5 linked regions of the Daphnia pulex genome follow. The protein of the gene in region 2 purifies or fractionates together with the protein of the main gene of each other region. This does not show direct contact. Links are inferred from orthologs where the notes say so. Each region holds a gene or a part of one and is shown on either strand. Other genes may lie near its edges.

The links.
Region 1: the proteins of E3 ubiquitin-protein ligase CHIP-like (region 2) and protein arginine N-methyltransferase 5-like purify together in Homo sapiens (affinity purification with western blotting; 3 studies listed by BioGRID and IntAct, with this or other methods). This does not show direct contact. The link is inferred for Daphnia pulex from reciprocal best matches to the Homo sapiens genes STUB1 and PRMT5.
Region 3: the proteins of E3 ubiquitin-protein ligase CHIP-like (region 2) and hsp70-binding protein 1-like purify together in Homo sapiens (affinity purification with western blotting; 4 studies listed by BioGRID and IntAct, with this or other methods). This does not show direct contact. The link is inferred for Daphnia pulex from reciprocal best matches to the Homo sapiens genes STUB1 and HSPBP1.
Region 4: the proteins of E3 ubiquitin-protein ligase CHIP-like (region 2) and glutamine-dependent NAD(+) synthetase-like purify together in Homo sapiens (co-immunoprecipitation; 3 studies listed by BioGRID and IntAct, with this or other methods). This does not show direct contact. The link is inferred for Daphnia pulex from reciprocal best matches to the Homo sapiens genes STUB1 and NADSYN1.
Region 5: the proteins of E3 ubiquitin-protein ligase CHIP-like (region 2) and dnaJ homolog subfamily C member 13-like purify together in Homo sapiens (affinity purification with mass spectrometry; 3 studies listed by BioGRID and IntAct, with this or other methods). This does not show direct contact. The link is inferred for Daphnia pulex from reciprocal best matches to the Homo sapiens genes STUB1 and DNAJC13.

What each region holds. Positions count from the first base shown.
Region 1 is NC_060023.1:12,076,991-12,083,653, forward strand, and holds protein arginine N-methyltransferase 5-like, read right to left. Parts: upstream 4,434-6,663; 5' UTR 2,848-4,433; coding exon 2,663-2,847; intron 2,577-2,662; coding exon 2,458-2,576; intron 2,384-2,457; coding exon 2,169-2,383; intron 2,111-2,168; coding exon 1,706-2,110; intron 1,645-1,705; coding exon 1,436-1,644; intron 1,368-1,435; coding exon 1,245-1,367; intron 1,180-1,244; coding exon 1,004-1,179; coding exon of another isoform or gene 941-1,003; coding exon 737-940; intron 672-736; coding exon 469-671; intron 408-468; coding exon 276-407; 3' UTR 173-275; downstream 1-172. Other genes in the region: CUGBP Elav-like family member 1, read right to left, coding at 5,197-5,324, 5,400-5,657, 5,938-6,231. UniProt on the Homo sapiens protein: Arginine methyltransferase that can both catalyze the formation of omega-N monomethylarginine (MMA) and symmetrical dimethylarginine (sDMA), with a preference for the formation of MMA.
Region 2 is NC_060019.1:9,013,416-9,019,336, reverse strand, and holds E3 ubiquitin-protein ligase CHIP-like, read left to right. Parts: upstream 1-2,180; 5' UTR 2,181-2,376; coding exon 2,377-2,466; intron 2,467-2,548; coding exon 2,549-2,675; intron 2,676-2,735; coding exon 2,736-2,807; intron 2,808-2,879; coding exon 2,880-3,007; intron 3,008-3,091; coding exon 3,092-3,205; intron 3,206-3,272; coding exon 3,273-3,329; intron 3,330-3,407; coding exon 3,408-3,524; intron 3,525-3,581; coding exon 3,582-3,707; 3' UTR 3,708-3,927; downstream 3,928-5,921. Other genes in the region: cytosolic endo-beta-N-acetylglucosaminidase 1-like, read left to right, coding at 1-82, 164-278; CD82 antigen-like, read right to left, coding at 491-619, 676-1,011, 1,135-1,350, 1,544-1,618. UniProt on the Homo sapiens protein: E3 ubiquitin-protein ligase which targets misfolded chaperone substrates towards proteasomal degradation.
Region 3 is NC_060026.1:16,274,945-16,280,859, forward strand, and holds hsp70-binding protein 1-like, read right to left. Parts: upstream 2,741-5,915; 5' UTR 2,606-2,740; coding exon 2,320-2,605; intron 2,256-2,319; coding exon 2,034-2,255; intron 1,974-2,033; coding exon 1,818-1,973; intron 1,759-1,817; coding exon 1,550-1,758; intron 1,484-1,549; coding exon 1,415-1,483; 3' UTR 1,311-1,414; downstream 1-1,310. Other genes in the region: uncharacterized protein LOC124205359, read left to right, coding at 1-160, 226-338; nuclear cap-binding protein subunit 2-like, read left to right, coding at 3,158-3,196, 3,342-3,428, 3,489-3,583, 3,648-3,786, 3,845-3,943. UniProt on the Homo sapiens protein: Inhibits HSPA1A chaperone activity by changing the conformation of the ATP-binding domain of HSPA1A and interfering with ATP binding. Interferes with ubiquitination mediated by STUB1 and inhibits chaperone-assisted degradation of immature CFTR.
Region 4 is NC_060024.1:12,902,030-12,908,559, forward strand, and holds glutamine-dependent NAD(+) synthetase-like, read right to left. Parts: upstream 3,969-6,530; 5' UTR 3,796-3,968; coding exon 3,592-3,795; intron 3,510-3,591; coding exon 3,397-3,509; intron 3,337-3,396; coding exon 3,252-3,336; intron 3,181-3,251; coding exon 3,035-3,180; intron 2,952-3,034; coding exon 2,702-2,951; intron 2,632-2,701; coding exon 2,393-2,631; intron 2,324-2,392; coding exon 2,039-2,323; intron 1,954-2,038; coding exon 1,368-1,953; intron 1,299-1,367; coding exon 1,134-1,298; intron 780-1,133; coding exon 693-779; 3' UTR 471-692; downstream 1-470. Other genes in the region: gem-associated protein 5-like, read left to right, coding at 1-469. UniProt on the Homo sapiens protein: Catalyzes the final step of the nicotinamide adenine dinucleotide (NAD) de novo synthesis pathway, the ATP-dependent amidation of deamido-NAD using L-glutamine as a nitrogen source.
Region 5 is NC_060019.1:8,023,793-8,030,216, forward strand, and holds the start of dnaJ homolog subfamily C member 13-like, read left to right. Parts: upstream 1-2,479; 5' UTR 2,480-2,642; coding exon 2,643-3,445; intron 3,446-3,511; coding exon 3,512-3,758; intron 3,759-3,820; coding exon 3,821-4,027; intron 4,028-4,094; coding exon 4,095-4,362; intron 4,363-4,423; coding exon 4,424-4,633; intron 4,634-4,707; coding exon 4,708-4,842; intron 4,843-4,907; coding exon 4,908-5,116; intron 5,117-5,188; coding exon 5,189-5,540; intron 5,541-5,608; coding exon 5,609-5,816; intron 5,817-5,875; coding exon 5,876-6,272; intron 6,273-6,332; coding exon 6,333-6,424.

The sequences.
Region 1 (6,663 bases), on a different chromosome or scaffold from region 2:
CAATTCGAACCGTTTGAAGGATAGTCGGCTTTTTTTGAAGATATCCCACTGCAACCTTATCTATGTTTCAAAAATATGATCAATTCTTATTCATTTCATGATTTGAACACAGTTGAGCCTTGTTAGAAACCTTTTTCCTTGGCCACTGAGTTCTAAAAAAATTGCAAAAATGTTAACACTTGAACAATCCTTGTATTCAGTCCCATGATGAACAAGGGAAGAACTAGACACGAGTGGAATCATGATTATAACAATGCTTAGTTATTAAGTTACATTTAGAGGCCAATATTGTGCGAGCGACCCAACGGATTGTGAATGGCACTGCCATGAGGTTTCGTCACGCACCATTCGTACCAGACGTGGGTGCGGTTGACGCAACGCCAAAAATGAATCTCGAGAACGTCTCCCTGTAAAATTAAGAAAAATTTAAAATGTTGTCTAGATATCGGGAGAGACAGTTGAATTTACCTTCTTCAGACTGATGGGATTCTGGATGGGGAAAAGAACTGGAAACCAACTGAACATTCCAGGCGAGTGTGTTGCAGGGTTGATGGAGAGCATCACATCTTTGTAGAGAACCGTTTCAAAATAGCCGGCAAACCCGTGGAGCATAGCATCGCATTTAATAGGAAACTTCCGCACTTCATAACGGCTGTTGTCAATTGGCATTTCTGTCAAAGTCAAGTCAAGGATTAAAGCAGAAATTCAGAGCTTTTTAAAACAATTTTTTCCTGACCTCTATTCGGATGAGTAAATGTAAACAAGGCCTGCGGATCAGCCAGTTCTGTCCTGTTGCGAAAGTGAACGACGTACGACATCTCGAAAGAAGTGAAGTAAGGCTTGTCACGCTCCCGACAGGATCGCACTTCATTGAACAATTTGGAAGACTGGATTGGTCCCAGAAATGAAGTGTAGCTCGAAGGAATGCTGATCCCGTCATCTAAGAATGAAATAAAAATGAGCAACAAAGTATTCCACCAAATAACGACAATGTCACGGGCACCTTTCAAGAATTTTTGGGCGCCGTCCAGACACTCTGGCGATAGCTCGTTATCTCCAAACGATCCGAGCAATTCCGAGACGAGGATGTCTGCCTTTTCAGGTGCATCCCAGTCGCGCATATCACAAGAAACGATAGTCACTCGATCCCCCCACTCTTCGTCGGCTAGACACTGCAAACTATTGAATGAAAATGACTTGATTAATACGAGTCGAGTGATAACATTTCTGCGGCAAAACATTACGTGACTATGGCGTTGGGATTCTTCTCCACTGCGTACAAACGAATGCGACGATCAGCTTTCTCTGCGGCAGTTAAGGCAGCACGAACTAAAGGACCTCGACCGGCACCGACAACCATCAATGTTCTGTTATTCAAAAATAATTCAATTACGACGGAGATCTCGGTAGAAAAGAAACAAAAAACAAAACTTACATGACTTTCGTGTCCTTTTCTTCCAACGGGACTTTATCCAGGATGGCCAGATACATCGCCCGCTGGTATTCGGTGTATTTCACGGGATCCTTTTCAAATACTTCGTAGGTCTGAGACTCGAGATTATCCATCAAAGGTTGGAGAGGAAATTGGAGAAAGTCTTCGTAACCTTGTGCAAATCGCATAACTGGATCTGATTCATACCCAACCTACAAGAAAACACAATATGATGATTGAAAAGGAAAGTAAGCGATTGTTGTTTCCCCTTACTTGCCACAAATGCTCAATATATTGTTGATAATGCTTGTAATGTTGGTGGCGCTGAGCTCCAGTGATCAGAATTTGCGTCTTCTGGCGTAAAAACTGACGTATGGCCACTTGGTGGGATTTGGGAAGAACTGGAAACCCTTTCTTGTTGGTCATGAATAAATGGGTAGGAACCACAAGACACTTGATTGGCTCTCCCAGCCAACGATCAATGTCTTCAGCATCAGGCAAATCAGCTGTGAGTTCCAGGGCCAGTGAGAGTTTCTTCTCAAAGTTTGCAGTAATGCGAAAGTTATTCCACCAATGCCAAGTATCATCAACTTCTTCTTCATCCACATCCCTTTCAAACAGACTAGCCTCAATTTTCGGGGAAATCATGGGGAGGTGGAGCCAAACATGGTACCTGGCCTAGGCACAAAGTGATAATTGAATCGTCTGCAAAAAGAAAATATTGGTAATGAAATACCTGATTCATCGGTGAAGACAACACTTTGTTGTGCATAAATCTGGCAAAATTTGTGTTGTTCTTTCTCAAGGGGACAAGGACAGCGGGGAGACCCAGATGTCCAGCAAAGGACAACTCTTGCTCCAGCATTTTCTCAGATTCTTGCCGCAGCAACTTGTCTTCATGATCCAAATCAATGTGTGGAGAAATCTTTCCAACAATGAGCGTGCTCCAGTCTTGAAATGAGATCATTCAACTTTCAATTAGGGGATCACTCGGCACACATTTATACTTTTTTTATCTTTTATACCTGAGCTGTTCAGAATGAGATCAGCTCGAGTGAAAGCTGAGAGACGTCGAGCTTGAGAATTTCCGGAGAAATCTCTTTTGTGTCTCGGATGGGCGATTGGCAGTGCAGCGAAATCATACCTGACGAAATCAAAAGTATTACGCTGTTAGCAACAAGTGACTGGGGCAATTTCTTGTGAAATTAATTTCGGGAATCAAATTAATACTTGGATTCTGTGGCGATTTGTAGAGCATTTGTAATATCGGCAGGGGAAACGAAATCGAGACCGCACGAAACACGTTTTGCCATTTTTGTAGTCGGTCTTCTGAGTGGCTGCGTTGCCAGATTTCTTTTCTTAAAAACGATTTTCGCACACCTACTTTTGTTTTTTAATTTAATTGAAATCGACATTTATTTTAAAGACGCTAATTTAAAATATTGTATTAACTGTTTCACTTGGCTGCCATCATTCGGGAGGGGGGAAATCATCATAAAAAACGGGCAAATGAAATCGCTCTGCGACATGCTGAAACACGTTTAAAGTATTCCACACCAAATATTTCCAAAAAAAAATCGCAATTTGTAACATCAAATTTTTGTCTAAATTTGCGGTGCAAACGTGAAAAAAATGAAACAAAAAAAAAAGTCGTACAAATAAAACAAAAATAAAATTTGGCATCGTCGATCCCACCCGAAATTCAAATTTCTCTTCTTCTTCTTCTCTCTCGCAGGAACTTGTCTAATTAGAACTGAAAAATGAATACTACAAACATGACTACCATCAACAAGTGCTCATTAGGTCACGAGTTTGTGTGTGTTTCTTTCAAAAAATAGACACGGGCGAATTTCTCTTGCTGGCGTCTTGCAACATAATTGTTTTAGTTTTTCTTTAAGTATCGAAAAATGTCTGACGCTTCAAAAATCGCCAACCGTAGTTGTTTTTTCTCAAACGAAGGTAAACGTGGGAAATGGGGTGTGAAGAAAAATATGAAACGACGAGATCTCACGTGCCCACCAGACAACAACAACAACAACAACAGCAAACAACTCCGTCACATCACTTTTTGCAACACAACAAAAAATTTTCACTTGGAACTTGAACAAAAGACAATCGAATTAAAAGAAAGAAGAAAAACACAATTAGAGATATACAAGTTTTTGTTTAGGTGCTTGTCAAGTCCTTTTTTGGGGGATAACGTCCACCTGGTTGCCAAAAAATGTTTGCCGGTCCTTGCGAAAAATCTGCACGTCACACTGACATTTGGGATCATTTGATACTTGTGGTAAATTGGCCGTCGGACGTGTGTGTGTGTGTTCTTGTTGCATGACTAGGGCGTGCGTCTGTACGTGTCACTGCCGAGGAAATTTCGATCAAAAAGAACAAAAAACAAAACAAAAAGGCACATGTAGGTGTCACGGCGCCACACCTTGTTTCCAACATCTTGCGTGTTGTTGTTGTTGTTGTCAAACGGTTCGAACAGAAATGAAGAGTCGATGGTGGGTGGTGGTGGGGGAGGTATACACGTTCGTATTTTCGAATTGAATTAATGTCACTTTTAAAAATTAGAAATTAATATAATTATATATAACCTATACGTGTGTGTGTGGGTGAGACTAGCTGATCACTACATCCATGTCGAATCAACATCGAAAAAAACTAAAACAATCAAAAGACACACAAACAAATGGGACACGGAACATAATCAAACATAATCCAAAAAATGGAAAAACTAAAAATAAAAATTGAAGAAACAAACAAACGACATTTTGGCATCTGGCCTAGCTGAATTCTTCTTTTCTTTTTTAAAAGGGAGGCAAACATGAAATAGCTTTCTTTTTGTAATCTCTCTACAATAATTTGGTAATATACTATGATTCAACATAACAATTAAAGAAGAACAAGACACGTGTAAATGAAAAACAAATAAAAGAAAAGAAGCGGATGAAATATTCGTCCGCTTCTCCGACGACAGAGACGCCAAACAATTGTTGTGTCTATATGGGGGACGACAAAAACACACGTACGAGACACGCAGGGAGTAAGATACACGATGAAAAAAAGAAAAAAAGGTTTGACAAACAACGTGAAAACGAGAGGAGGTTTGAAATTGTTTTTTTTTAAATTTGTGGTTGGTTGGTTGGTTGGTTGTGGTGCACACACGGACACACGGACACAAGGAAACCTAGAAGAAGAAGAGAAAATCAAATCAAAAACAACATTCGATACGAGAGACGAGAGACAAAAACGTTACAGCTAAAACATGTAGTCAACGACAAAACCCTGAGATAGACTAGAAAATTTCAATCATTTGAATTTGAGCGGGAAAAATGAATCGAGAAGAATTCAAAAAAAAAGGTTTAAATCAATTTGTTTTCTCTATTTGTGAAATATTTGTGAAATAAAGAAATTTAAGAAGAACCAATCACATGATATGTTTATAGGCTTTGCACTTTTTTCCATAAATGTGACTAGGTTATTTGGTCGCATTTCAAATTGAATAATAATAATTATTTTTAAAAAATAAAATGAAAACAAAAAAAATTTAAAATTCCCAACTTACTACCAAGAAAGGGGGAAGGGGCAAGGCGTGTTTGTCCAGTCATTTGAAAATTGTACGTTTCTTTTTTTTTGTAATGGGGCGGTGGCTTGTTGCGTTCAGTGACATCAACAAAAAAATATTTTTTTCTTTTTTTAATTTTTTTTTCGAATTTCAAAATATTTATTTCTCTCCCCCCGAGAGTTTTTCTGTTTCTTTTTTTTTAATAAGGTTTCGAGGCGTCTTTGGAACGTTTCAGCTGGACTTTGAGCCGTTTGGTGCCGATTTGAAAGCCGTTCATGGCTTGGATGGCCGCCTGGGAGCTCATCGGGTTGTCGTACGACACGAAACCTAAAATAAGAGAAATAGAATTCATCAAAATTTTCCGATTAAAATATAATGTCATGTCAAATTAAATGGAAATACCGAAACACTTTGACAAATTGGTCTGCTTGTCGATAAAGACTTTGGCTGATAGGATGTTGCCAAAGGGCGAAAAGGCTTGACAGAGGTCCGTGTCGCCAAACTCTTGCGGCAGGTGGTAGATGAACAGGTTGGATCCTTCCGGCCCTTCCTGCTGGCGCAATCCGCTACCCGTCACGCTGCCGCTGCCACCCAGGGGACTGACACTCCCGCCGTTGGCGCCATTCATCCCCACCTGGCCGCTAGTGAAATTGGGGAAAGCTAAAAAAACAAACCAACAAATAAATCAATTTTTGAAACGAAAAAGGAATGCCGGAATGCCGGAAGTGGAAGAAAAACAGGTGAAAAAGAAGCAAAGTGACGAAGAGTGCCGGATGATTTTTATGTTGTTGTTTCGTGTGTAACTTTTCCTTATGAAATTATTTCAATTTTTTAAATTTTGGCGCTTTTTTTCCACATTGGAGAAATGATCATCTCATTTTGCGGAATTGCGGAATTGCGGAATTGGGGGTTTTTGTTTGGAGAAGGGGCTGGGCGGCACCTGTAGTGAACTGCTGGATGCCGGCCGTGTAGGCGTTGGCCAGGGCTTCGAGATTGGCGGCGGCGGCGGCTGCCGCAGCGGCTGCCGACGTCCCCAATCCGTTGATTCCGGCCGACGTCGCCGTGGCTGCTGCTGTTCCAGCTGTCCCGCGATTGTTGACTAAACTCTGGTGGTGGTGTTGGTGCTGCTGCTGTTGTTGTTGGCTGTTGGAATGGGACGGTTGTGTGGCGGCAGCTGTGGCAGTGGGGCCAGCGGCCACCAGTTGATGGCCCAGCGAATTGCTGGCCGATCCTCCTATCAATTTGGGTGTCAGATGAGTCGGTTGTTTTTGCAAGCCGGGCGGTTTTTGGGGAGGGAATTTAGGAGTTTTGTTCTTTTATTTTGTTTTAAATGTCCCAGTTTAAATCCCATTCAAAGTCCAATCAAACCATCAAAACATGCGACATTAAACAACAAAAGCATCAACCCCTTTCTGTCCCCCATTTGATCTATGAATGGATCACCGTGTTGTTTCCGTCACTTGTCATTAAGACGGGCATATATTAAGAAAAGGCATTCCATTAAAAAGAAAAAGAAAACCAAAAAGAAATAGCCGAAAAAATGATGACAAAAAATTTAAAAAATAATTGAGGGGGGCAATTTGAGTTGATCATTTCTCTCAAGTGTTTTTGTTGTGTGTGTCTTGTGTGTTTCGTGTCTGTGTGTGTTCCGGCACAAACAAATCGA
Region 2 (5,921 bases):
CGGTGAACATTGATTGTAGATGCGACGAATTGGTAGGGAATCTATTCCGTTCCATGCCCAATTCATCCAGCTGGGAGACGAGGTATGTGTTGCATCAACTACAATCAGTCACTAGTGACAATAATCTTGTGATTATGTGTGATGAAATGTTTTTCAATTCAAGGTTATTTAAAATTTCGGTGAGCGACCAAACCGAAGATTGCATATTTTTGAGAAGTATTGCGCTTGAAAGCCAAGGTGAAACAGAGTGCAAGATCGGTTATTTATGTTGCTTTTAAGTTTTTTTTAACACTGATGTAAGAAGTGAAATTCTGCCAGTCAAGCAGAGTAACACGTAGAATAATGTTCAGCACAGCATTTAACACTGATTCTATCACATATATAAATAGTGCTTAAATAAGAAAATTAATCAATTATTTTTAGATTGCGGACCGTTTAATTAATTTAAGGTATGCATTCTAGACAATGTACGGAAAATCTAAACATATTTTTAAACGCCACAACACATCGCCACCGACAACAACAATCCAGCTAAATCAATAACTGCAATAACGACAAAAAATGATAAAATGTATTCGGATATTGGCTCACTCATTTTGGTGATTTCCGACAGACATCCCTAAAAAAAAGAAGTAGTAAGAGAGGAGAAGACAACGATTATTGTTAACAACTAACCTCGGTATAGATTTTCTGACTGATTTCTTCCCATTTCCATAATTGGATTGTTTGTCCTTTTAGCATATCGTGACAAGCTTCTCTGTGTTCAGGTACACAGCATGAAGTTGTCACGGTTTCTTTTTCAGCTTGGAGATAGGTCAAATTGTAAAAGGCGTGAATTCCGCAGCAATTTAGCTTGCTTCGGATTTCATCCACACGAATTTTTGAAGTTTTATTGTGGTGATAATTAGAAATGTTTTCCTTCAGAGAATTTTCGGTTATTTTGGAAAAGCGAAGAACCATTATTCCTCCCACAATTACGAATCCAAGATTTAGTAATACGAAAACCAGGTACTGAAGGCGAGCAGTGCGATGCAATCATTCATCGTAGCGAAATATTCCATTTAGTCAAAGGAGAAAGAAAATTACTCTAAAATCTTTTTTTGTTTTTTTTTTTTTATACAAACACGAGCTTACGCAAGATATCAGGCATTTTTTCTCGCCAAAGGCACCACACATCCCGAATAGGCTAAGAAATATGAGTAGACCGCTGACGGCAATTGCAACCACGATGTTCATAACCATATATTTGTCGTTTACCACCAAAAATTTCTGTTTGTCTGATCCTTTTGCAAATTCTTGACGTTGTACAAGTGACGACGCCGACAAGGAGATTAATACAATGCCGCTCAACTGCATTTCAAAGAATATGTCAGTATCATATTTTATGAAAAGCAATAACAAACCCAGTCTTCCAAACGCAACATTTAATTCGATAATTTCAACCATCTTCAGTTAAATTCTTTAGTAAACTCACGTTGGAATAATATAACTGTTAATATTTTAACAAATCTACAATTACATTGTAATAGAATAATATGTTTACCAGGATTAACAAGTTGAGGCACAAAAAACTCCATCGTAAAATCTTGTGGGAACGGAACGTAACCTCGTCCGTCATTTCCCTTTGACTGTTTTTCCAGTTACTATTTCAAATCGGAATGAAAGCCCGTGTGATAAGGAAACTTACTGTACCACTAACAGGAAACCCAAAATCCGAGTAAAAGAAAATACATTTGCAAACAAGCAATACAGCCGGAACCCAAACGGTATAAAAAAGTGACGTCTATCATTAATATCGTAATCCATAAAACCACGTTGACTCCACCAGTTGGTCTCACGCTTCGAAGTTTTAACTCCTGAGATGGTCACACGATTAAATAAGTAAATAACCAGAATAACCACTGCGGATCGCCTACTGTTCTCTAGGTTAAAGCCCAGCAGTGCGCAGTCAAAATTGTACGCGCGTGTATCCAGGTCGGATGTATATCACTCCAAATAACCTTTTCTTTTGCTTATTTCAATAAATTCTCTGCTTTAACAGCTCTAATTAATTTTCTTATCCTAATTTTCAAATTAGATAGGAATCGTTATGGCGTCTACTGCGCGTATTCATCATAGATTAAAATCTATTTTTATTGGATGGTAGATGGCGGTGAAAAGGTCTTTCCACAATCCGCACTTTACTTTACTTTCATCCGCATTTTATAGTTTATTTATTAAAAGCGTTTTTGTTGTTTTCCGCTTTAGTGTCAGAATATCTGACGTTAATTGGAATTGTGCAATTACGTTTTCGTATCTATTTTATGTGATAGTGTTGCTTTTTTAAATTCTTTCTCGATCCTACAGCACCCAATAGTTTCTTTTTTAGAGAAGAAAATGAGTGACAGAGAACACAAAGATCAGGGGAATAAGTTGTTTTTAGCTCGACGTTTCGATGAAGCAATTTCATGCTATTCCAAAGCCATTGTAAATTTCTTTAATTAAATTAAGCATAAATTATTTTGTTTTGCAACGCGTAAATCAAAGTAATTGTAATTGTTTTCTTTAGCTTAAAAATGGTTCTGTTCCACAATACTACACAAATAGAGCTCTCTGCTCTCTCAAGCTTGGCCGTTGGGATGCAGTAGTGCAAGATTGCAAAAGTGCTTTAGAGTTAGACAACACTTGGGTGAAAGGTTTTTAGTATAAATTCTTCAAAATACTCTGAAAATGCTATATATTGCTATTATGTTTAGGGCATTTCTTTCTGGGCCAAGCTTTAATGGAAAAAGAATGCTATGAGGAAGCAATAAAACATCTTCAAAGGGGTACTCATTTCCCCAACTTAACATAAATTTTGAACACATAAAATCTGATTATTGAAATTTGCTTGTTATTAGCCCGTGATCTTTCGATGGATCAGAAACTTAATTTTGGGGATGATATTACCAGTCAGTTAAGACTGGCAAAGAAGCATCATTTTACAAAGCAGGAGGAGAAAAGAATTTCACAAGAAATCGAACTACAGGTAGTCTGTTAATAACATTCTCTTTGTCCACTCCACTTTGCAAAAAATTATGATTCATTTGAAACTTGGATTTTATTTTGATAGATGTATATAAATAGGCTCATTCGAGAGGATCGAGATCGACAAATCGATTTGGTTAGTCAAGACAAAGAATACAGTTCAGTGGAAAACGAAATTTCGAACATAGAGAACGTCACCGTGAGCATATCTAGAGTATTTTTCTTGTTTCGTTAGTAGACTAATAATACTTGATTAAAATCGGTAGGATCGCTACCTGGCTGAATTGAATGACCTTTTCGCAACCGTCGATGACCGAAGAATGGTACTATAAATTATTCAACTGTGTGTTTCAGTACGTCTTATACCATTAAGAAATTGTCTTTGTAATTGTGTCGGTTAGAAACGTGAAGTTCCAGACTATTTATGTGGCAAAATCTCTTTCGAGATCATGAGAGATCCAGTCATCACTCCTTCAGGAATAACCTACGATAGGAAAGACATCGAAGAACATTTGCAGGTAAGTGAATTCAAAATTGCCTAGTAGATATTAGCCAAAAGATTTGTTTTTACGCAGCGAGTTGGACATTTTGACCCTGTGACGCGAGTTAAATTGACCAAAGACCAATTGATTCCAAATTTCTCCATGAAAGAAGTTGTCGACTCGTACCTGACCGAAAACGAATGGGCTCAGCACTACTAACCACTTTTTTAAGGATCATTCATTGATTTTGATTCTCTTAAAAACTCCGCCGCATTGTATTAAATGAAATCGATATATATTATGATTTGAATCGCCGAGCCCCAGTTGTGATGTTTCCTATCGGGTTGGATGATAATCAGGAAGTAAATGTTGCTATACAGTCTTTCGCTATTGATTGCACATTGCTGTTGTACTTCAATAGACGATGCTGGAAATTTTATATATACCTGATTATGAACCTCCTATTAAATTTGATTTTATTGGGATCAGAGTTCGCCTTGAGCAGATTCTACACCTGTAGGATTGCTCCAATCTTTCAATAGGTTATATTCTTTAGACTAAATTATCGTCTCCTCTGACAATTGTTTGTGGGTGATTGATTTTATTACTTTAGCCAAAGGCAATTGATGATTTGCAGCCGAACTCTATTGGTACGTTTCCTTTCATTAAGCACTTAATTGAGCTTGGCGTGGTTCGTTGTGGATGTGGCCAAGGACAATTGTATCAGAGTTGGTTAAGTTGGTCATTAATCAGGGGGGTCGACTTGAACGGACGGTACTATCGATCCTGGTACAGCACGGGACTGGACCGATATTCACTTAAATTATAATAAACGTCCCATGGGTAAATTGTGTTTGCCACGTCGTCAACTACAGTTATTATCTTATCAGCACTCTAGAGAGAAGTCTGTTGTGTATCTTGCAGTGTGCATACAAGGGCGGAAACGTTACTGTTCCTGTTCCTAGGTCTCAAGTTGAAGTTTTTCAATTTAATGCATAGCCTAGCACTTGTTGTTGCATCGATTTCTTAACTTTTTTTTTCCCCCTCTTCGCGCTTCGACTGTCCTATAAAGGATCGAGCTGACGAATCGAACGGCGTTGGGTGTGCCGTATAGACGACGGAAACGATGGACAAGTCCCGCCCACTCTCATAAAAGTTGGTTGGCAAATAATGCGGGACATTGAAGCCTTTTTAATGTGTCATCTTTTTCATTTTCTCCTTTGATCGCTCGGTTGCTTTTATCGCTCTTGCACGGGGCTTTTATCGCGGTCGACTTGTGCCCCGAATGGCGGCCGGTATCGGACGTTACGTTATATTAGAAGTCAACACAACAACACTTATATGCGGCGTATGTGTCACAACGAGAGTGCCTTTTTGCTACATGGCCCACCGCCAACACGTTTCATTTCCGTTCAGTCTGTCAATAACGATCAGTCAAACAAATAAGACACAACTTTCATTTAGATTGTACCCGGGATCGGCGAGGGTGCCAACGACTTGGCGTTTGTAATTGATTGCCTAGCTCGTATGGAAAATATACGTAGTATAACATTTTATAGGGACTTTTTTAATCCATCGGTGATGGCGGTTGGCCCAAACTTGAAAGCATTTAAAACTGAGTGGAGGTCGAAATTTGATAAACCGTGAAATGGAAACGGGTGCCGTCGACTGGCCATCGTCAAATTGTTTAGTTAATTTAGATTTGTTGGTGTATAGAGACAGTTGCTTCAAAGCCGGTTTCTTGTTATGGCGTAGTCCACGAGTTGCTGCTCCTGCTGCCTCGATAGATAAATGTATACACGTGAAAGAGAGTCTGAGCGTCTAGGTCGTGTATAGACCAACAGTTGGCTTGTCTCACGGACTATTTTCAGATTTAGCAAGGATGCCCGATACACGTGTTTTTCATTCCCGAAAGAAATAAACAAAATGACGAAGAGCAAAGCCGAAATATTTGGAGAACTCTCTCTAGATAGATAGATATACACCGTGACCAACTGCTCATCTATATATTTGTGCCAGAGATTCATTGGCAATCTATCGCGTTTTAGTCTGCGAATAACGCCAATAGGTTTGCCCCTTTTATATTATTATATAATGTAGTGACATTGTGACAAATGAAAACCTCGATCGAATCCGATCGTACTGTACAAGAAACGGCAGTCCATCTGGCCCGCGGAGTTAAACAGCAATCAATACTGTACAGGCGGTTGAGATGGATGGACTAATCATTGGGAGCGTTCGGCCATTTGACTGTCACACCCAATAATCAAATGGCACTGAAGAAATAAAACCGATCGTCGCGCTATGGTGGACATGAGTGTTAAGGTGAGTTGAGAAAACAATAAATATAAGAAAAAAGGGAAACGGTGGAAGTAATGTCCGAGCAAGTAGAAAAAAGGGGACAAGGAGAATGGCAACTGATAATAAAGGGCC
Region 3 (5,915 bases), on a different chromosome or scaffold from region 2:
TATGCCTGGTGGAACGACAGAAATGGAAACCCGCATTATTATTGGGCCGGAAGTGCGACGGATGTCCATAGCTGTCAGTGTAGTATCGATCAAAATTGCATTGATGGCACCGCCAAATGCAACTGCGACTCGATTTCACCTACGCAACTGACTGACGCAGGTGATAAGTTGGAAACTCATTTGTTAAAAATAGATAGCTTCAATGGACTTTATGTCATTTTACAGGTTTTATCACCGATAAGAAACTCTTGCCCGTCACCGGTTTGAACTTTGGACGAACACATTTTGAAATTTCATCCGGAGTCCACACACTCGGCCGATTCCAATGTTCTGGATAGGTGACCATCTCTGGAATGCCAAAATCCTGCGAGGATCTCTGGCGTATTGGACACTCCCTCAATGGCGTCTACTCCGTCGTGGGATCTGCAATGATGGAAAGTGTTTACTGTGACTTTACAAAACTCCCCGAGGATCCAGGTAATTTACAAACAATACTCTGCTAAGTGCATAGTGATCCAGTTAATTGTTGAAATTATTAACCGCAGGATTCCAGAAGTGGATCGGGTACGCCGACGTCAAATCAGTGCCCACCTACTTTTACGTGCAGAGAAGTCAACGTTTCTCCAAAGTCAACGTTTCCATCCCCTTTAATACGGCACTTGTCAACATCGGGAACGCTATTAATTTGACGACTGGGGTTTTCACCGCTCCTAGAGCTGGAACTTATTACTTTTCGTTCACAGGATTGGCCGAATTCCCAACATTTTCCTCTCTGCTCTATTTAGGCGTGGATTTGTATTTGAATGGAAATCTTATTGGAAGAGGTTTCGTTGAAGACCAAAACACCGTTGCAGGGCAATTCACTCCCGTGACGTTGCATTCGACGCTCAATCTATTACCTGGTGATCAAATCTGGTTGCAAATAGATTCCTTGTTGCCTCCGTTGATTGGCGACGGTACTGCAGCCCGTCGTAAAAGGCGAATGCTTCCGACAAAGGGAGTGATTTTATTCGACGATTATCGCCACTTTACTCATTTTACTGGATTGATGTTGGAGGAGGACATTTCACAATCGCTTTAATTTCTTTTCTTATTTTTAACTGATGCATTTAAAACAATTAAATTTTGCCTGTTACCTACAAACTTTTTCAGCAGAGACCTTCTTGTTAATACATATGTATTCTTTAGGATTGTAATGACCACAACAATCTTGAGGATCAATAGGATTGGTAGATTACGATAACAAAATTAGAGAACACCGTTCACGCTTCGATGGTTCACGAGAGAGTAAACAAACAAAAACGTAAAGATTATCAAAAGGACGTCGGTGTGTGTATTGCGCCTCCATATCATGAGCCTCTTTGTTTGCTTTTTAAATTCTCTTTCTATTGCCAGCAATCGAATGCCAATAACTTCACCTGTCTTCGACAATGTCTTCCTTGAAAATCACCGACAACAAAGTACGGCAATACTCGGCTTCCTCCTATCAAATGAAAATTCAAAGTTTAAAATTCGATTTCATTTTCAAGTATTGACTAATAATTATTACCAGACATTCGTCGCGATCTCCGATTAATTCGATGCGGTTGTCGAGAAATTCACGAAAGAGAAACTCTGATCTACGGCACTCCTCGATCGATGGGGGGTGGCTCTGGGTAAGTGCCAGCAAGGCGGCCAGTAGATGTTCGTGAGTCGAGTCGTGATCTCGTTGAAGCAGAGCCACAAACTGCTCCACAAATCCCATATTACATAAAGTATCTAGTAAACAGGGTATTGGTTAGAGTACAAATGGAGAAACTTATGAATGTGAATAAAACCTTTGAAGGATGGATTCTCATTGCATAAACAAGTCAACAAGAATGAAGCCTTGATTTTCAGTTTCCCGAGTGATGATTGCAGTGCTCTCAGTAAAGACGAGAAACCATCACAATGCACAAATGCATCCTGGGCTTCTGCACATTCTCTTGTCAAACCTATAATCAATCAATTGTTAACTGAATTCCCTTAGTGTGAGTTGTAAATCTGCTCATTACATGAAATGGCGTACAGGGCTTTGATTCTCGCCTCTTCACAGTCATCGTTTTCCAGCATTTTAAGCAAAATTGGCAATAGGTCTTCGTTGAGCACATGCTGTTGGCAGTATGGGTTGTTCTGGGTGAGGGTGCCAATCAACTGACAGCACCTCCAACGAACTCCATCGTGGGGAGAATTCAAACAGGGGATGAGGATGAAAAATCCTCCTATCTTGTGAAAGTCTGGAGAAACAAGCGAAACAAGTGTCAATGTTTTATTCAATCAATAAAAAAAGATATCTCATACCATTAGCCGTGTCCATGGAATCGGCAAAGTCAGTAATCATTTCCAATGCTTCCTCCATCTCCTGGGGATCTTCTTCAGGACTTTCGACTCGATCTGGATTGAGGATATTTAACGATTTTGATATTTCGGCTACAACGTCGACTGACAATCCTCTTAGAGCTTCTTCTAACCAGCGTCTCCTTTCTTCACTCATCGATGTGGTTGTGGTACGATCTTCAGCTGCGGTGCCTTCGATGGCAAATCTTAAAAGTCCTTGCATATCTCTTGGTTGTCGTGGGGGTTCCATTGTTTTGCTAAGGATCTCAACAACAACTTGTTATATATTTATGAAGAATAAGACGCAGTACGCAAGTTAAACCGTGAACGCATGGGGCAAGCAGACGTCAATGAAACTGTTTACTAGCAAAATCAAGAAGAGTCTGGAATAAAAAGAGCCATCTAGGCATGACTCGCATAACTTAAAAAATTTTGACATTTACAAAACAAACCTGTTAAGTTAATTAAGATTTGGATAAAATTCATTGAGATTTTAAAAAATTATTGAAAAAATCTGCGAAAGTGTGTCATATTTTTATTTGGTTTTTAATTGTAGTTTAACGCCGGAATGGGTTTCTAGCAAGTGACGTAACCTAGCGGCCGCCATAAGCATCTTTTCGAAAGTCACTCGCGTCAGGTTTGTTGTGTCAACGCACACTTTTTTTTAGAAAAAAACCACACCAATTTTAGTAATTTAAAACGCATAAAGTTTAGCCGGTTGATTGGCTGAATACAAGGACACTTAATTCGGAAGACACTGGGGTGAACGGTGTGATTGGTTCTCCCGAAATAATTCGTAGAAATGGCGGTTCCAAGCACATACCGAGACCAACATTTCAAAGTAAGCCTCATGAGTTGATAGCAGAATTGAAAATGTAACTTAATATACAGTTTTGAGGCAATTAATGTTTAAATGGAAATGCATACCTTAATAATTAAAAATATTTTGATATTTCAAGCCAAAATAACTGATTTCCATCTTTCAGGGTTCCCGGGTAGAGCAGGAGCGTCTGTTGAGTCAATCTTGCACCCTGTATGTTGGAAACTTGTCCTTTTACACAACTGAAGAACAGGTTAAATACTTCCAAGTCAACAATTGGTTCCATTTGATTTCATCTTTTCAAATATTTTAGATCCATGAATTGTTTGGGAAATGTGGCGATGTCAAGAGAATCATCATGGGATTGGACAAGTTTACTAGGACCCCTTGTGGATTTTGTTTTGTAGAGTAAGTCATTGCAACCAAATCCAATAACAAAATTGTGTTTAATTATTTCTAATTATCTTTCAAGGTTTTACCTGAGGAATGATTCAGAAAATGCCATCAGGTTTGTGAATGGGACAAGACTGGATGACAGAATTGTGAGAACTGACTGGGATGCTGGCTTCATTGAAGGAAGGCAATATGGCAGAGGCAAAACTGGAGGACAGGTCAGCATTTCGTCAGCTCAAACTTATTGTTCTCAACTAATGGATTTCTGTTTTGCAGGTGAGAGATGAATACCGAACTGACTTTGATGGTGGCAGAGGAGGATGGGGCAAAATGATTCAGCAGAAGGTGGCCACATCTGCTGCTGCTAACAATTGATAACATTTCTAAATACTGTATTCATTCATCTCTGTGTGTTTTTTTTTTTAACAAATGTCAACAAGTGTTATCCTCAATTAAAACAGACCATGCTGAATTGATTTCCTAAACAAAATCTTTTTTACCTGTGAAAGAAGACGTTTCTCGTCATGTTTCCATCTGCCAGTCCGGTTGGCCTGGATTTTATCGATCGAAAAGTGGGGACACTAGAATCTCTTGCCATGTGATCTGTCACTCCCAAAGCTTTTTCCTTTTCAAAGCGAAGCGGGTAGTTTCCCAGAAGAGCTTTTGCGGCCGCGTGATGCACGCCATCATCTACATGCAAAGAAATATTTGAATATTCAATTCCCAGTGGTCGTCTGCAACTTATAACGAATGTCACAATTGAATTTGTGTCAAATGTGAAGCTAATTCAATGATCATTGATCAATTAGATGATTTCCAAAATGGAAATGGTATCGATTTCTGATTGCTCGGTAGTTGTTTAGTTATTCCAAATTAAAACTAACTTATTTATCGTTCGAAGAAAGAATGTGCTTGACGTGACATTCAACGTGCATCTGAACTACCAGGAAAATTGTACTGAGTGAGTGTGTGTGTATCTGGTGTTGGCTGTTTGAATATTTCTGGGCGACGGCAATCGAGTTCTCTCCCACTGCTGCAGCCGCTGGAAGCATTCATGTCCGCGTGCCGATCCGCGTGCTCCGCCGTGAGGCTATAGCGGGACTGGTGCATGTTGGCTGGCTGCTGTACCCACCGCCCAGCACTACAGATGTTGCTTATTCAAATATTGACGTAAAACTCACGTGGAGCGACATGAACATTGCCCAGCACCTGTTGTATAATCTTCATCTTCCTCCTGGTGGCCATGCCAACAAAACGGGGCTGTTTCCCCCCCTGCGAATATCCGTTTATACATCATTTAATTCCCTCTGTTTGAAACTAGTGTAGGAGCAGGTATTGTGTCTGGCCGTTAAGTTATCGATTGGTTGGTATATTAGGTGTCGTTGACGGCCAACTGCGCATTTGGCGAAAACGATATCAAACGATACGAGTATTATAACGTCGTCTATTTATTTTTCAATTACACTTTGACAATGGCGTGAACGCCTTCAATGCCCGGCAACTTGTAGAAGGACAAAAGCAATTGGCTTTTCTTGATTTAGGACGGGCGTACGTAGTACAACTATAATATAATACGAAGCGGATGAAGCCAAATAATTGATTCCAGACGACGAAGACGTAATAGTAATAGAGCGACGAATGCGTCGCCCATTCTGGATATCAATCAACGACTTGTGACGCCGGTATGTAACACACACTGGATCGATATAATCGAAATGCGCATTGACATGGAATTATTCGCCGTATTGGTAAAATGTTGTTGTTTGGAATGATTTTGGCGAAGCGAAAGAATATCTAATAATAATGATATCGCTAACTGCTGGGCAATCTGATGGGCTAATAGGGTGCCCATATGCGCACGTGGCGAAATAGGGATCTGCCTCGTGCTCTTTTGTGTGTGTGCAGTCAACGCCGGATGGGTGTGCAAGATTGGTGCATTTATAATTGGCTTTCGCCTATTCACAGCAGCACATCAGCAGATCTACTAATGGACGGAGGCAAATCGGAAATTCACAGCATCCGCCGTGTTGTCATTCGACACCACCCACGTTGGTAGTCACATGTGTTATTACTCACGGTTCATTGGGTTATACCCTCGACTATCAAATTTGACGTAAACACGGTCTATCAAATTAACTGGCGATTATACAACATCCGATCAATCGAAAAATGTTCCGCCCAGGTATGTTCATTGGCCTCATCCGCCTTTATTCTCCACGTGGATTGAATGGCCGCACTTTCTTTGATATGTGCGGAGTCATAATTCGCCACGTGCCGTGAGTTTATTCCGTCCGGTCCAGGTCGGCGTTCTCTCTCAAACCCTTTTTTGCCCAGGAACAGTTTGATG
Region 4 (6,530 bases), on a different chromosome or scaffold from region 2:
TCGTGAAGCCGTGGCTCTTACACGTTGCCAGTACCCCGACGAAAGTTCTCAAGTTCAAGAGAGTCTTTCTCGTTGGGCCAGCAAAGCTGTTTTAGATGGTAATCTCGAATTGGCAGTAAAATGTTTCCTGGCCAATGGCGAGGTAGCTGAAGCGGCTCGCACGTTGGCGCGACGATCAGATCCGTTGTCTCTGGTTTTGTCGGCTGACCTGGCTACAAGCGCCGGTCTGGATCAATTGGCTGCAGCCTATTTACAACAAGCTACGGACATTGCGCAGACTGCCACTGCGACTACTGAAAAACCTAGTCCTACACCGACGAATGGCGATGCCGCCGTTGCGGAAGTATCTCAAAGTATCGATCAAGCGGACAAGAACCAAGAAGTCGTCGCATTATCAACAGCAGCAGCAGCAGCGGAAGACGAGAAAACAGAAAATGACGAAATCATTCAAGAAAATGGGAGAGAATAAATGATGTATCTGGGAGTGTATTATTTGACGGTATTATTATTACAGTCTAATAATTAATTACATGGACGGCTTTGTTGAGCCCATATTATGCTGATAATCTCCTTTTATCTAAAGGCTTATTAATTAATTTGAATCTAGACGGTCACACAGGAGCTCCCCGTTGATCCGCACAATTAGCAGTTATTGTGAGTTTTGGTGATTTCCTTTTCTTCTTCGCCATTAACTAAAATGCAATAGAATTACCTGATTGCATGTGCGCATTATCTAGTTTACGATCATCAGTGTCGACCATCTTGTTGACGTGCTCCAACTAGAAAAAAAGACAACAAAAAAAAGGAGGTGGAACATATCTAAAAATGACATGCGTAAGCCATGGCTTTCCCGACCGATCAATACGCCGGCACCTCTCCAGTTTTCACAGATCAAACAGCCTTAGCATATAAAACCTCCCCTTCCTCCTTTCAGCTCCCCCCCCCCCTCCTCACCCTGACTTTGGTAGCAGTATAAAAAAAAATAAAAAAAGGAAGGATAAAGATTCTCGAGGCGAACCGGGATTCTTCTACATTCTACATGGTAATTCCATTAAAAGCCTAAATGAATAATTCACAAGCTTACATAGTAGTAGTATAGCTGTCGGGCATGAAACGGCTCGATATATACTTACATGAGCGTCAATTGCGCGAAACTGCCATCCCCACTTGGCGTTGTAAAGGAAGGGCCTATGGTCGAAGCGGTTATCATCGGGGCTGTACGTCTCGGCGTGGACGGAAGGCGTAATCACCGTCATTTTATGTCGGTTGATGGCGTAGCAGCGATAAAAATGTTTGACCTTGAAATTGAAACTCTTTTGGTACTAAATTTCCATTTTTTTTCTTTTTATAAAAGAGACATTGTATACTTTGTGTGCGATTTCAGCTGGTGTTCCTGCTCCCCTCCAGCTTTGAATTAGTCGACAGAAAGTGGTGTAAGGCCCACAGGCTGCCTGTTTACGAAGTCGCCCCAAGTCACCCAGCTCGGCGTAAGTTAAACCCATGTCTTCTTCGTCCGTCTGAACTAGACGACCTTCTTGCAAGGGCTCCAATTCGGCAGTCGGCGGAGCTGTCAGAATAGTGTCCAGGGAAGTTAGACAATATTCATTCCGGGCGTATGATAGGAATCGCTTCAAATCCCCTTTGGAGATTCCGCCGATGGGATTAACATCGGCACTGGAGCAATCGTATTTGGTGAGGTAGCCACGCAAAGATTCGTCGACATTGGCAGAACCAAGAACCAACAAACCACCCGATCTGCCCCTGGCCCACAACATCAACTGGGCCAGCAAGTAGCTCAACACCATCCTCATTCGGGCCTGGACGTTTTGCAGGGCAAGGTTTTCTCGCAAACTGCCGCCATCGACTCTGAACTTTGGTACGAGCCCCGTGACGACTGTGAAAATGTTGAGAGCGGCCGAGACAACAGCGTCGATAGCCAGGGTCAAATGATAGCTTATTGGGTGATAAGGAAAAATAATTTAGTGTCTGTTTTTTTGTTTGTGGTGTCAAGTTGGCCAATTAAAAAAAGGTCGTTTACCTTCCCAGCTGGTCAGACAAGTCCTTTGCCCGCTGTCGTGTCTCCGCCGATGAATTGGCGCTGCCCATGTAACAGGTGATGAAAATCCGGTTGCACAGTTCACGAGGATCGTCCGGGATGTAACTGGGATCGCCAACAATACGCCGGACATCGTCGATGGCGTGACTATCGCCATTTTGTACAGAAGTTACCACCATTCGACACATGGAGTAAACTAAAACAGCCGAGGAACTTGAATCGACACCTCCACTCAGAGGTAAGAAAAATCCACCCTGGCCAGACCGCCTTCAAGTAATTTGATGTTCGGTTTAAAAAAAAATGTCATCCTGTTGTTTGAAATGAATTTAAACCAACCTGAGATAGTCCCAGAGCCAGCCGGCAGGACCATAAGCAATCTCCTCTTCAGGACTGTGGTACTGCCATTTGAATGGGGTACTGGAAGCTCTCATAGCGTAGCAGGAAGACTCGCTCAGACTGAAATCGACCGGAATACGACGATACGATGGACTCTGGGCAGCGGCGATGTTTCGAGAACGGACTAAATTGCGGTAAGTTCGTATGTCATCCAAGTCGACAGTGGCTACAGCAACTTCCTAAAGAATAAACCATCGCAAGAAATGATTTTAAAAATATCCAAGTGATACATATTGTGACGAAAATTACCACTTCTTCTAAGGAGAATTGACGCGTTCTAGCGATTGTTTGTCCGTTAAGTGCGATACACGATCCTCCATTAAACATGATACGCTGTCCATCGCAGCCTCTTAAATTTGAGAATAAGTAGCAACCGCCGGACTTTAATGTTGCTTGTAGGACAAGATCGACGGCAACGTTGGCCTTGCGCAACTCAAAGTAGGAACCCGACCCGTTGACGATGAATTCAACGCCGTCCAAACCGAGAGAAATGTGAGTACTACCAAATAGTGTGCATATTGGGTTTTACTGGTCATTAAAACAACAAACAATAATAATATTCATTTGCAAGTACAACTGTACCTGGAGGGATTCCACAATTCTTCACAAATTTCAAAACCTATGGTGGTATCCAAGGTTTCCAGGACTGCATCTCCAAAAACTACAGATTTTTGCCCTGTAAGCTCTCTTATAAACTCTGGCAATATGTAATCCTCTGTTTGGTAAAGCTGTTTACAAAATAATTCACATTTAATTAAGGCCACAGATCCCAAAAACTGGTGTAAAATAAATTTTATACTTTTGTCCAGGCAGTGAACCATCTTGATTCTCTGTAATTGCCATCATCACAGAGTTTCAATTTAGGACGAATCAGCAAGATTTTTCTGCGAAAAGGGGGGTACTGTTTATAAGAAGAGCATAATAACAATAAAACAATTGCTTACCCATTGAAAAAAGCAACTCTGCAATTGTAAGTGACACTCTTGTGCATAACCGGCATGCCAACATCAACTAAAATATTTTTGCATACTGGACTGGCTAATAGTTCAGCCAAAACCTATTTGAGGATCAAAGATCATTTTCTAGATTTCCCAGAAACAAACCGCAGTAAACATAAATCAGAAAAGTGACACGCTAACCTCCCAGCTGTGTAGAAGAGTGTCAGCTTCATAAAAATGATCTTCACAGCTGTATCCTGTGACTTCTAATTCGGGTCCTGTGCGATAACTAGCACCTTGTACTTTTGCTTCTTGGATGCTGGCGATGATGCGTGACAGATTTCCGTCGAAATCCAAAGCCCACTGGTTCAAGCAGCAAACGGCGACTACAACTTTGCGCCCCATGTTCTCCTCGTTGACTGATTTAATACTATTTCCTTTTTACCTTCTTGCCAAGCTGCGGAAATCGACCCAACAGGTTTTTTATTACTTTGCCAATACTAACGTTACCAGAGCAACTGTCAAATCGACAAATCAGCGGGACGGAAGGTTTGTTTTTCTTTTCGCCGAGGTAAACATACAGCATTGCCAGTTTTTGGTAGAAAGTAACTTTTTTTTCCCCTTCCTCCTTTTTTGTGTGTGTCGACGTCTCGACGACCGTTAGTCATTGTGACCTGCAGTGCGGCCTTGGTAGATTTATTATTAAGCATAGGCTTTTTACGAGCAGATTTTCATCAGTTAATGGCATAATAATTTCATCTCCTATTGCCTTACGTATTATTATTACGTGTTTGCATCAAGATGTTGTCTCGTAGCTAATTATTATGCGCGTTTAGCATTGAGAAAATAGCATTTAAGTTATAGAAATGTGACGTTAGTATATCGTTGGTCGCATTGGCCGCTAGATGACAGTTGAGAGGTCAAAAGAAAATAGAAAACAAAAAAAAAATGTGTCCCAATAAAATGAAAATCCAACACACGAAAAATCTAGAAAGAGAGAAGAAGACAAAAAAAAATTATTTTCAAGTAAGACGCGCGGCCGAAACTGTAAACGAAAGCGGAGGGAAGGGAGGAAATCAGGATGAAAGGAGAGAGGCGAAAGAGAGAGGAAAGAAAACGGGTGGCGTCTGCAGCCGTGGCCGCTGTGGCGCTGTCTGTCGGGGAAGAGCCCGAGTCTCTCCCTCTCTCTTTTTTCTTTCTTTTCTTTTTTCGCTTGGCTTTTCCGTTGGCTTTTCAAGTGAAATGTGGTCAAATCCGTCTCTCTCCTGTTAATACGGAAAGTCGTCATTATTGAGCTTTCTCTCTTAAAAATAAATGTATATTCATCAACTTGGACGTTTCTATCGAATTTCAGTCGAATATTTTCCAACGTTTGAATTACGTGGTGTAGCGCCACGTAAAATAAAATAGATATCCCCCCCACCCCAACTGAAAAAGCAGACACACATTTTGACGTGTGCTTGACTACGAGTATCAAGGTGCCGACGGCTAACAGCTCCGAACGGCTGGGGCTGGGGGGACTCTCCAAGCCAATGTGGCAATTGTGTTCAGTCGAAGTTGCTGCTGAACGAGAACGAGACGTATCTCTGAAACTTCTCCGAACAAAATCATTTTTTTTCCCCCTCTTCTTCGTCAATCACACACACAAACACACCAAATCCCCGACGAAATCGATCTCTCTCTCTCACTGGTGTCGTGTGTGTTTCTCCCTCAATTTCGACGAATAATTAGTCTTGGAAAAAATCGCCATTACTCCCCACCACAAAAAAACGTTCAAATGACTCAATCGATTGGCTTTCTTTTTTTCGAAAATTGAATTCTCGGTGTGTCTGTGCTGCCGAGTCTCTTTTTTATTTTTTGGCGCAAGCATAAACTTTGGTGGGGACATATATCCAACGAGTGTGTTACGTGTTGGACGTGTGGTGTGTGTGTGGTGTGTGTTGCAGTGTCTGTGTGTCGACTGGAATCTGGCCAAAAGCAAGCCGAGTCTCGTGTCTTGGATTATTGCACAATTTAAGACTTACCACTTACTCACTACTACCACATACCTCTAACCTCATCTCTGCGGATCTATTCAAACTCGGCACATGCAGGTATGCAATCATCATTTCTTGTGGGATGGGGGGGGGGAGAGAAAATTTCGCCAACAAAAATGGCGTGTGTGGAATGACACATGTGCTTTCTTAAAATATTGTTGTAACCTGTTGAGTGAGTATAAGTTGAGTAACCATCCGGTCATAGAGACAATTGATTGCATGTAATAATCATCATGCCGGTTGTTTTCTTGGGGGATTTTTGTATTTTTTGACCGAATTGGTTTTTGGGGGGACCTTCCGCCCGCGTCACTATCAAACCGCACACACACAACACCAGCGTGAGATTGCAATCAATATTTCACTCTCTTATGTCTGTGTGTGTGTGTGTGTATAGGAGGATGCATCGAAAGGGGGGGTCAAAACGTGTTGGTCATATATATTCCCAGCGTCTGTGTGTTTTGATTTCCAGTCAACGTCCATTTTTAGGTTTTGTTCATTGAGGAGCCCCATACACACACACACTGAGAAATTTGAATGGTTGAGGGTTTTTTATTTCACAGTGAGGGGAACAAGCCCCAGCATATATTTCGAACCTGGGGTTGTTTCCGAAGGGTGTGTGTGGTTGTGTGTGGGGAGAGAGAAAATATTTTGTCTCTCCCCTTCCTCTTTTCTTTTATGTTCATCTTTCAGTTTTTCCCAGTTAGTGACGCGTCAAGTGGTTGTTAACCCGCTCGCTAGGTGGTGTTGTTTGACAAGCGCGCGAGAAACTCCCTTTCGAAATGTGTGTGTGTGTGGAGGAAGGGGGGACTCGACTGGGAGGGGTAGGGAAAGCAGTAGACACAAGGCCATCATTTGGAAACCCATCGTCTCATTACACAAGTGGTGGCCCTTTTTTTTCAAAAAAAAATATAAAAGTATTGTGTTCAAAGAGTTTTTTCTTTCTTCGGGTTGCAATTCAATTTCGATATCAGAGAGAGAGAGAGAGTTTCCAGGGAAAAACAAAAGTTCTGGTACATACTACTGGGAAATCTATAAATTCCAAGTGTTTGAAAGAGTCCAAGGTTATTGTGTGTTTTATAGTTTTTATATCACGACCTTGTGGAT
Region 5 (6,424 bases), about 990 kb from region 2:
ATTTTTTTGGTTATCACAGATGTTCCTGGAACAATGAAAATCATAACTAGTCTTACCTGTCCGTCAGATGTCCAGATAGATGGAATAGTCGTCAAACGACATGCAGTACTCTACAGCCAACGCCAACTGCTCATTTCTGAGATAGTACTTGCCCAGCACGGACGGAATTGAACACGGCGCACACACCCACTCCATGTGGCACAAGTAAACGCAGTCCGCGGTTTTTGCCGTCAACTTCCGCAGCTACTGTGAAACCAGCGATCGCAGGGCCCGCAATGCACAGCAATACCTGAGCCAAGTACTCACCGGTGGTCTAACGCCGTAGCGAGGCATGTTGTCAAGTATCGCGTTCCGCAAGTCGGCAGCCAAATGGGTCGTTTCGTTGCTGACCGTTTTGCCATGCAAAGAGTGTATTTCCTTTTAAAAGTACGAAAATAGAGTAAGGAGATACACAGACTTTTCTGTGAAAAATTTCCCCGTCGTTCGTTACCTTTTTCGCGCTTGTTATATTGCATTTCCCTCAAAAACAATTTAATTGATGCGTGCAAAAGAAAAAAGCCAGTTAAAAATCTTTCTGCTGCAGCGATTGACGTGATGCGCGCCCAGTGCGTTGATATAATCCCGCGTGACTGCCATATGCACTGATCCGCTCATTACGCACGCCTTATCATGGAAAGAGATATAAAGGGGAGGAGGGGGGATTTATTAACTAACATTGGTTCGATGACGCAACCCACTTCATCCGGCCACTGTTTAAAATAACGTAAGATGAGCGAGAGCCAATGGTTATATGGACAAGGCAACATCGGACGTCCTAAGAAAAAAACAAAAATACAGTCCCCTCCATAAGTATGGGATCACCCCGCGCCGTTCCATAAGGCGGCGTGTATTTTTCATATGGGTTTTTCGGTTGGCAAAAATCGAAAAAATGACATAAATTCACCAAACTTGGGATTTATGTCATATTACGTCTTTTCTATTGTCTGAATTTTTTTCAGATTTTTTCCCCTATTTTTTATGCCTAGAAAAGTGGCGCACAAAGTATCAGATCACTCCGACGCCGCCCGTGTTGTCTTATGGCGCAAATGGGCTTTTCATATTGCTTTTTATATATTTAATTTTCTAGAAGGAATTTTTATTTTCAAACCGTGTATACAATACCCTTTCGTCAATTAACTGTCAGTTTTTCATGATGATCTGAATTATTTTCGAATTTTCCCAGATTTATTCGTTTCCCGAGTTTCTGAAATAAGAGACTGCAGAAGACTTCATTTGCGGTTTACAACCTCTATCAGCTGGCGTAGGCCGGAAAATTAGTTTCGTTTCTATACACCACTGGCGCTCTTCTTCCTTTTTTACTTAAGGGGCGTATATAAACGACACTAATTTTCCGGCCTACGCCAGCTGATAGAGGTTGTAAACCATAAATGAAGTCTTCTGCAGTCTCTTATTTCAGAAACTCGGGAAACGAATAAATCTGGGAAAATTCGAAAATAATTCAGATCATCATGAAAAACTGACAGTTAATTGACGAAAGGGTATTGTATACACGGTTTGAAAATAAAAATTCCTTCTAGAAAATTAAATATATAAAAAGCAATATGAAAAGCCCATTTGCGCCATAAGACAACACGGGCGGCGTCGGAGTGATCCGATACTTTGTGTGCCAATTTTCTAGGCATAAAAAATAGGGGAAAAAATCTGAAAAAAATTCAGACCATAGAAAAGACGTAATATGACATAAATCTTAAGTTTAGTGAATTTATGTTATTTTTTCGATTTTTGCCAACCGAAAAACCCATATGAAAAATACACGCCGCCTTATGGAACGGCGTGGGGTGATCCCATACTTATGGAGGGGACTGTATGTGCTGTCATAATGGCTTTTTTGCAGGATCAACGTTTTAAGAAAAACTGCACGGAAGCATTTCCCAGTAGTTCTCCTCCTTCAGGACCGCCCCTACCGCCAAGTAAGGCAAAGCTTCCGGAGCTCGCCGAAAGGAGCAGCGCAGTCGAATTCGCCGTCTGAGGAGGGGGAGGGGGCAAAATGTCGACTGCTGGACTTTACACAGAGTGGCCCATCTCCTTATCTCTGCGTAGTCCTGCCAATCCCAGATTATTTCAGTGGTTTAAAACCTTGCCCACGCTAAACTTTTAAAATTTTAGATTCAATTTGAAATGCTTATGTAGCTGGGGCTTTTCTTTAGTCTGAAAATTTGTTTTTAATCTTTTCGTATCTTTATAATTTGGAGCGTCCGCCGTCCGGAAGCGAATAAAATTGTGTTATAACCTATTTAAGTTATTACTGTTAAATCTAAAGCTGAAATATTAATATTAAAAAATCAGTAACATTATTTAAAGCATACTGATATCGTTAGTTCGTTACTCTTTGAAAAGGATATTTGAAAAATTCCTAACTCGCAAAGAAACGGCTTCGCTCTGTCATGTTATTATGGGCGTTAAGGGGCGGGGCCTATTCTAGAGTGTCAGATGTCTTTCTGAATTTCAGCAGAAGAAAAATAATAACTGTGAGCAGTCATACCGAAAAAAGTAACCCAAATTTTTCATTAAATTGCCCCGTTGGCTTGTATATTTTGTCAGCCCAACGGGTTGCGAAGGAAATCTCCCCTATAACTTGAAAAATGGGAACAGTCATTCCAGAAAATCAAGAGATATCTAGTTTTTTAGTGACAAAGCTTTCAAACTGGCGAGGAAAGTATAAACGAATCTTTACGATCGGCACTCACGCTATTACTACTTACAATCCGAATAATTTAGAAGTGACCAATCAATGGCCATACGCTGAAGTCATTGGAATTAAAGCCGTCGAAAAATCAGAGTTCATTCTCAACATTATTAGAAAGAAGAAACGAGATTCTATGAGATTCACTTGTGATCATCGTTCAGAATTTTTATTTGAATTTCTACGTGTCAAGTTGAATTGTGATCAGCAGCGTAAAGAGTGCTGTAAGTATGATGCTTACAAGCATCATTGGTCAGGTATTAAACTTCCAGTGATTTTGGAAGTCAATCCGTATGGAGTTCTTCAGCTTGAACCAACCACAAAACAACAACTTGCAGTCTATCCCTTTTATGAAATTGAAGGCATTGCACTAATAGAAGATAGTCCACAAGCAATTGTTTTTAGAAGAGTAGGTTTTAGTAGGCTTCATATTTTTGAAATTCCTGGACGCAGTGATATCCTCTCAAAAATCCAAGAAACCGCACTTGCCAATGTTGTCATTCCAATTAAGCAACTGAAATCATTCAATACTTTAAATCAAGCAGTTTTGGAGAGGCTTGGTAACTATAGCTCAGATGAGCATTTAACTTCTCTTATTGAATTTCCCGTCCACAAAATCACTCCTCGCCATCCTGATGCTGTCCGGAGACTACTGTGTTTATCAGAAACTTGCCTTCTCGAACGAGATCCCGATACCTACAGGTAATAAGGAATAAAACGAGTTAAATGCTCAAACAACTTGACAATTAATTTAAATTTTGTTTTTAGCGTTTGCACTCTCAAGCCGTTGGAAGATGTTTTTGCCATGGTCCGTAATCCGGATGATCAACAAAGCTTCTCTGTTGAATTTCTTCGTGGAGGAACACGTAGCTACCGCGCCACGGAGCGGGATGCTCTCTTGGCCACTTTATTAGATGGTGTAAGGTCATCAGGCAATCGAGATATTCACGTTCGATCAACGTTAACGAATAGAGCTCTGAGGCTTACTCCTTTACGTCAACCACCAGATGAAGAGGCAAGTAAAATATCTAAACGAAAGTTTATTCAGTTTTTTATTCTCTTAATTTTTGTTTTTAGATTGAGTCGATGCATTTGCGTTGGCTGGTCCAACCTCCACCTTCCGTTCCTCTTTCATTGGCTACGCTCCGCTTTAATTGTAGTGTAAACTATGGTGGACTTCAATTTGCTAATACCCAAGAAGGTATTTTCTTTACGGAAAACAAAGAAAAATCCATTCATGCTGCCCTTTCAGCTTTGGTGGAAGAGGATTCACCAGGAAATCAGGTTTGTTAACTAAATTAATTTCTCGTCGATGTCTACTGTTGTTCATGTATTTTTATTGTTTTTCTAGGATAAAGCTGATACTGAACAAGAATTTTTGGCGTTACGTCGCTTAGTGGCGTCCAGAGCAGGCTTCGCCGCATTCACTCATTTGGTTGGGTTTCGAGAAAAACTTGGGCTTAAAGTAGTGAGAGCTTTGCAGCGGGACCGTGACCATGTTACCCAAGCGGCTATCGACGTCCTTTGTGCGCTAATGGAGCCCATGTATGATGAGAGCGATTTACGTCAAGAACAACTCAATAAAAGCTCCCTGCTTTCTTCACCTAAATTTCTTGAAGGTACTTGTATAGCTCAGTTGAACAATTTAAAAAATCTTATTTCACGCTGTTGTATGAATAGGTATTTTGGAGCGGTGGACGCAGCATGTGCTTCGTGGAACTGGGGCATTAGTGGTGATATCTGTTCTAGATTTTCTCACGTTTGCTCTTTGTGCACCGTATAGCGAAACAACTGATGGAGCTCATTTTGACGCTCTGTTGGCTATTATCGCAAAACGGGGCAAGGAACTCTTCCGTCTTTTACAACACCCATCTCTTTCAGTCGTTAAAGGTTTGAATCTACTTTACCTCGTACATGATAGCTGCAATTTAAATAACTCGTCATTTTTATTTTCACGCTTCCAGGAGCAGGATTGCTTATGAAAGCTGTAGTTGAAGAGGGGGACGAAACCTTGGCTGCTCGAATGCAACATTTGGCCCTCTCCGAAGCTGCCTTGCCACGCCACTTACTAACAGCATTTTACACAAAGAAACCAGCGGGTCTGAAATTAATATATGTTTCTCCTTATTTGAACACTTTCGAAATATTTATAATTATTATACAGGATCTGTTGGAGATGGCCGTCTTTTACTTAACCGCCAACTGTCACGGAAGTTGGTTGCATTATGGACATCCAACAACCCAGAAGCGTTGAAACTTTTCCAAAGAATCCTTCCGGCAGGACTTTTAAGTTTTTTAGAATCCACTGAAAGTGTCCCCGAAACAGCCGATGAAGAATTAGGCGAGGGCGTTCCAAACCGTGATAATCTAAAAGTAACACCATTACATTTAAGAACTATATTAGAATCAATTTCCTAACTTGGTATATAATAAACTTTCACACAGATTGCTAGCGATGAGTACGGCCGCAAGCAGAATCCTCAATGGCAGAAGTCAGTAGAGCGCCATGTTAAGACAGCACACAAGATGTTGGCCAAACATGTGGAAGGAGCTTTACAGCACTGGAGATCTAGAGATCATGCAACCAGACGTCAAGAAAAACCAAAAGAACGCCCTGTTGTCCTTAGAAGAAGAAGGCAACGAGTAAAAGCAGAGGGAAATTGGGAACTATTGTGTTACCAGTTCTGGAAAGAACACGCCCTTCCCAACTTGATATGGAACGCTAAAACGAGAGAAGAACTTAGAGAAGCATTGGAAAATCAGCTTCGAACATGCATTCAAGATCGAGAACTATCTGGTAATTTCATACAAAATATTTTACTCTTATTGTCTTTATTTTTATTGCCGATTTTTATGATTCGATAGGAATGGAATCCATCGCTTGGAACCATTCGGAATTTGAAGTAAGCTATCCGTCCCTAGTGGATGAGGTCCGAGTTGGTGACTACTATTTAAGAGTCTTACTGCAACATAACCAACCTACGGGATGCCTAGCAATTGACATTAAAGATCCTGTTGCTTTTTTTGATGAGCTCTATCGCCGTTTCTTAACTGCTCCCAAACCAGCATTACGGTTAGAACATTTTATCATTTATTCGTAACTCGATATACAAATGATTTTTCTTTTATCAGCTTACCCTGCTTACAAGCTATGGCACTGGTTTACGGCCGTCATCGGGACGTCATCGGGTCTTTTCCAGATACGGGTTACCTAGTAACACTGTTGGAGCGTTGTATCGACTACGAAGAACGTGACCGGTTGGTCTGCCTTTTGGCACAGTTGGTCAACGAGCCACTCAACGTCAAGGGCCTGCTCGACGCTGATGGCCTTCGCTATCTTATTGATCTTCTTCCGTTGGCGCACCTTCACACTCGTCGAGCTGTGCTAGTCAGTCAGAGTAACGTGATTGAAGCTGGAAACGACATGCAGCAACCCGGAGAAAAAGAGAAAGAATGGTACTATGGTAATGCAGCGGGGGAGCGCCTAGGGCCCTTCAGCTTTGTCGAAATGAAAGAGTTGTTCAAAAAGGTTTGTGATTTGTCAAATCTATACAGGAAAATATCTTAAACTTTTTGTTGCTATTTCTAGGGTAATTTGAATGCAAAAAGTCGTTGCTGGGCGCAAGGACTGGATGGCTGGAAATCGCTACAAAACGTGGCCGTATTTAAATGGAGTATTTT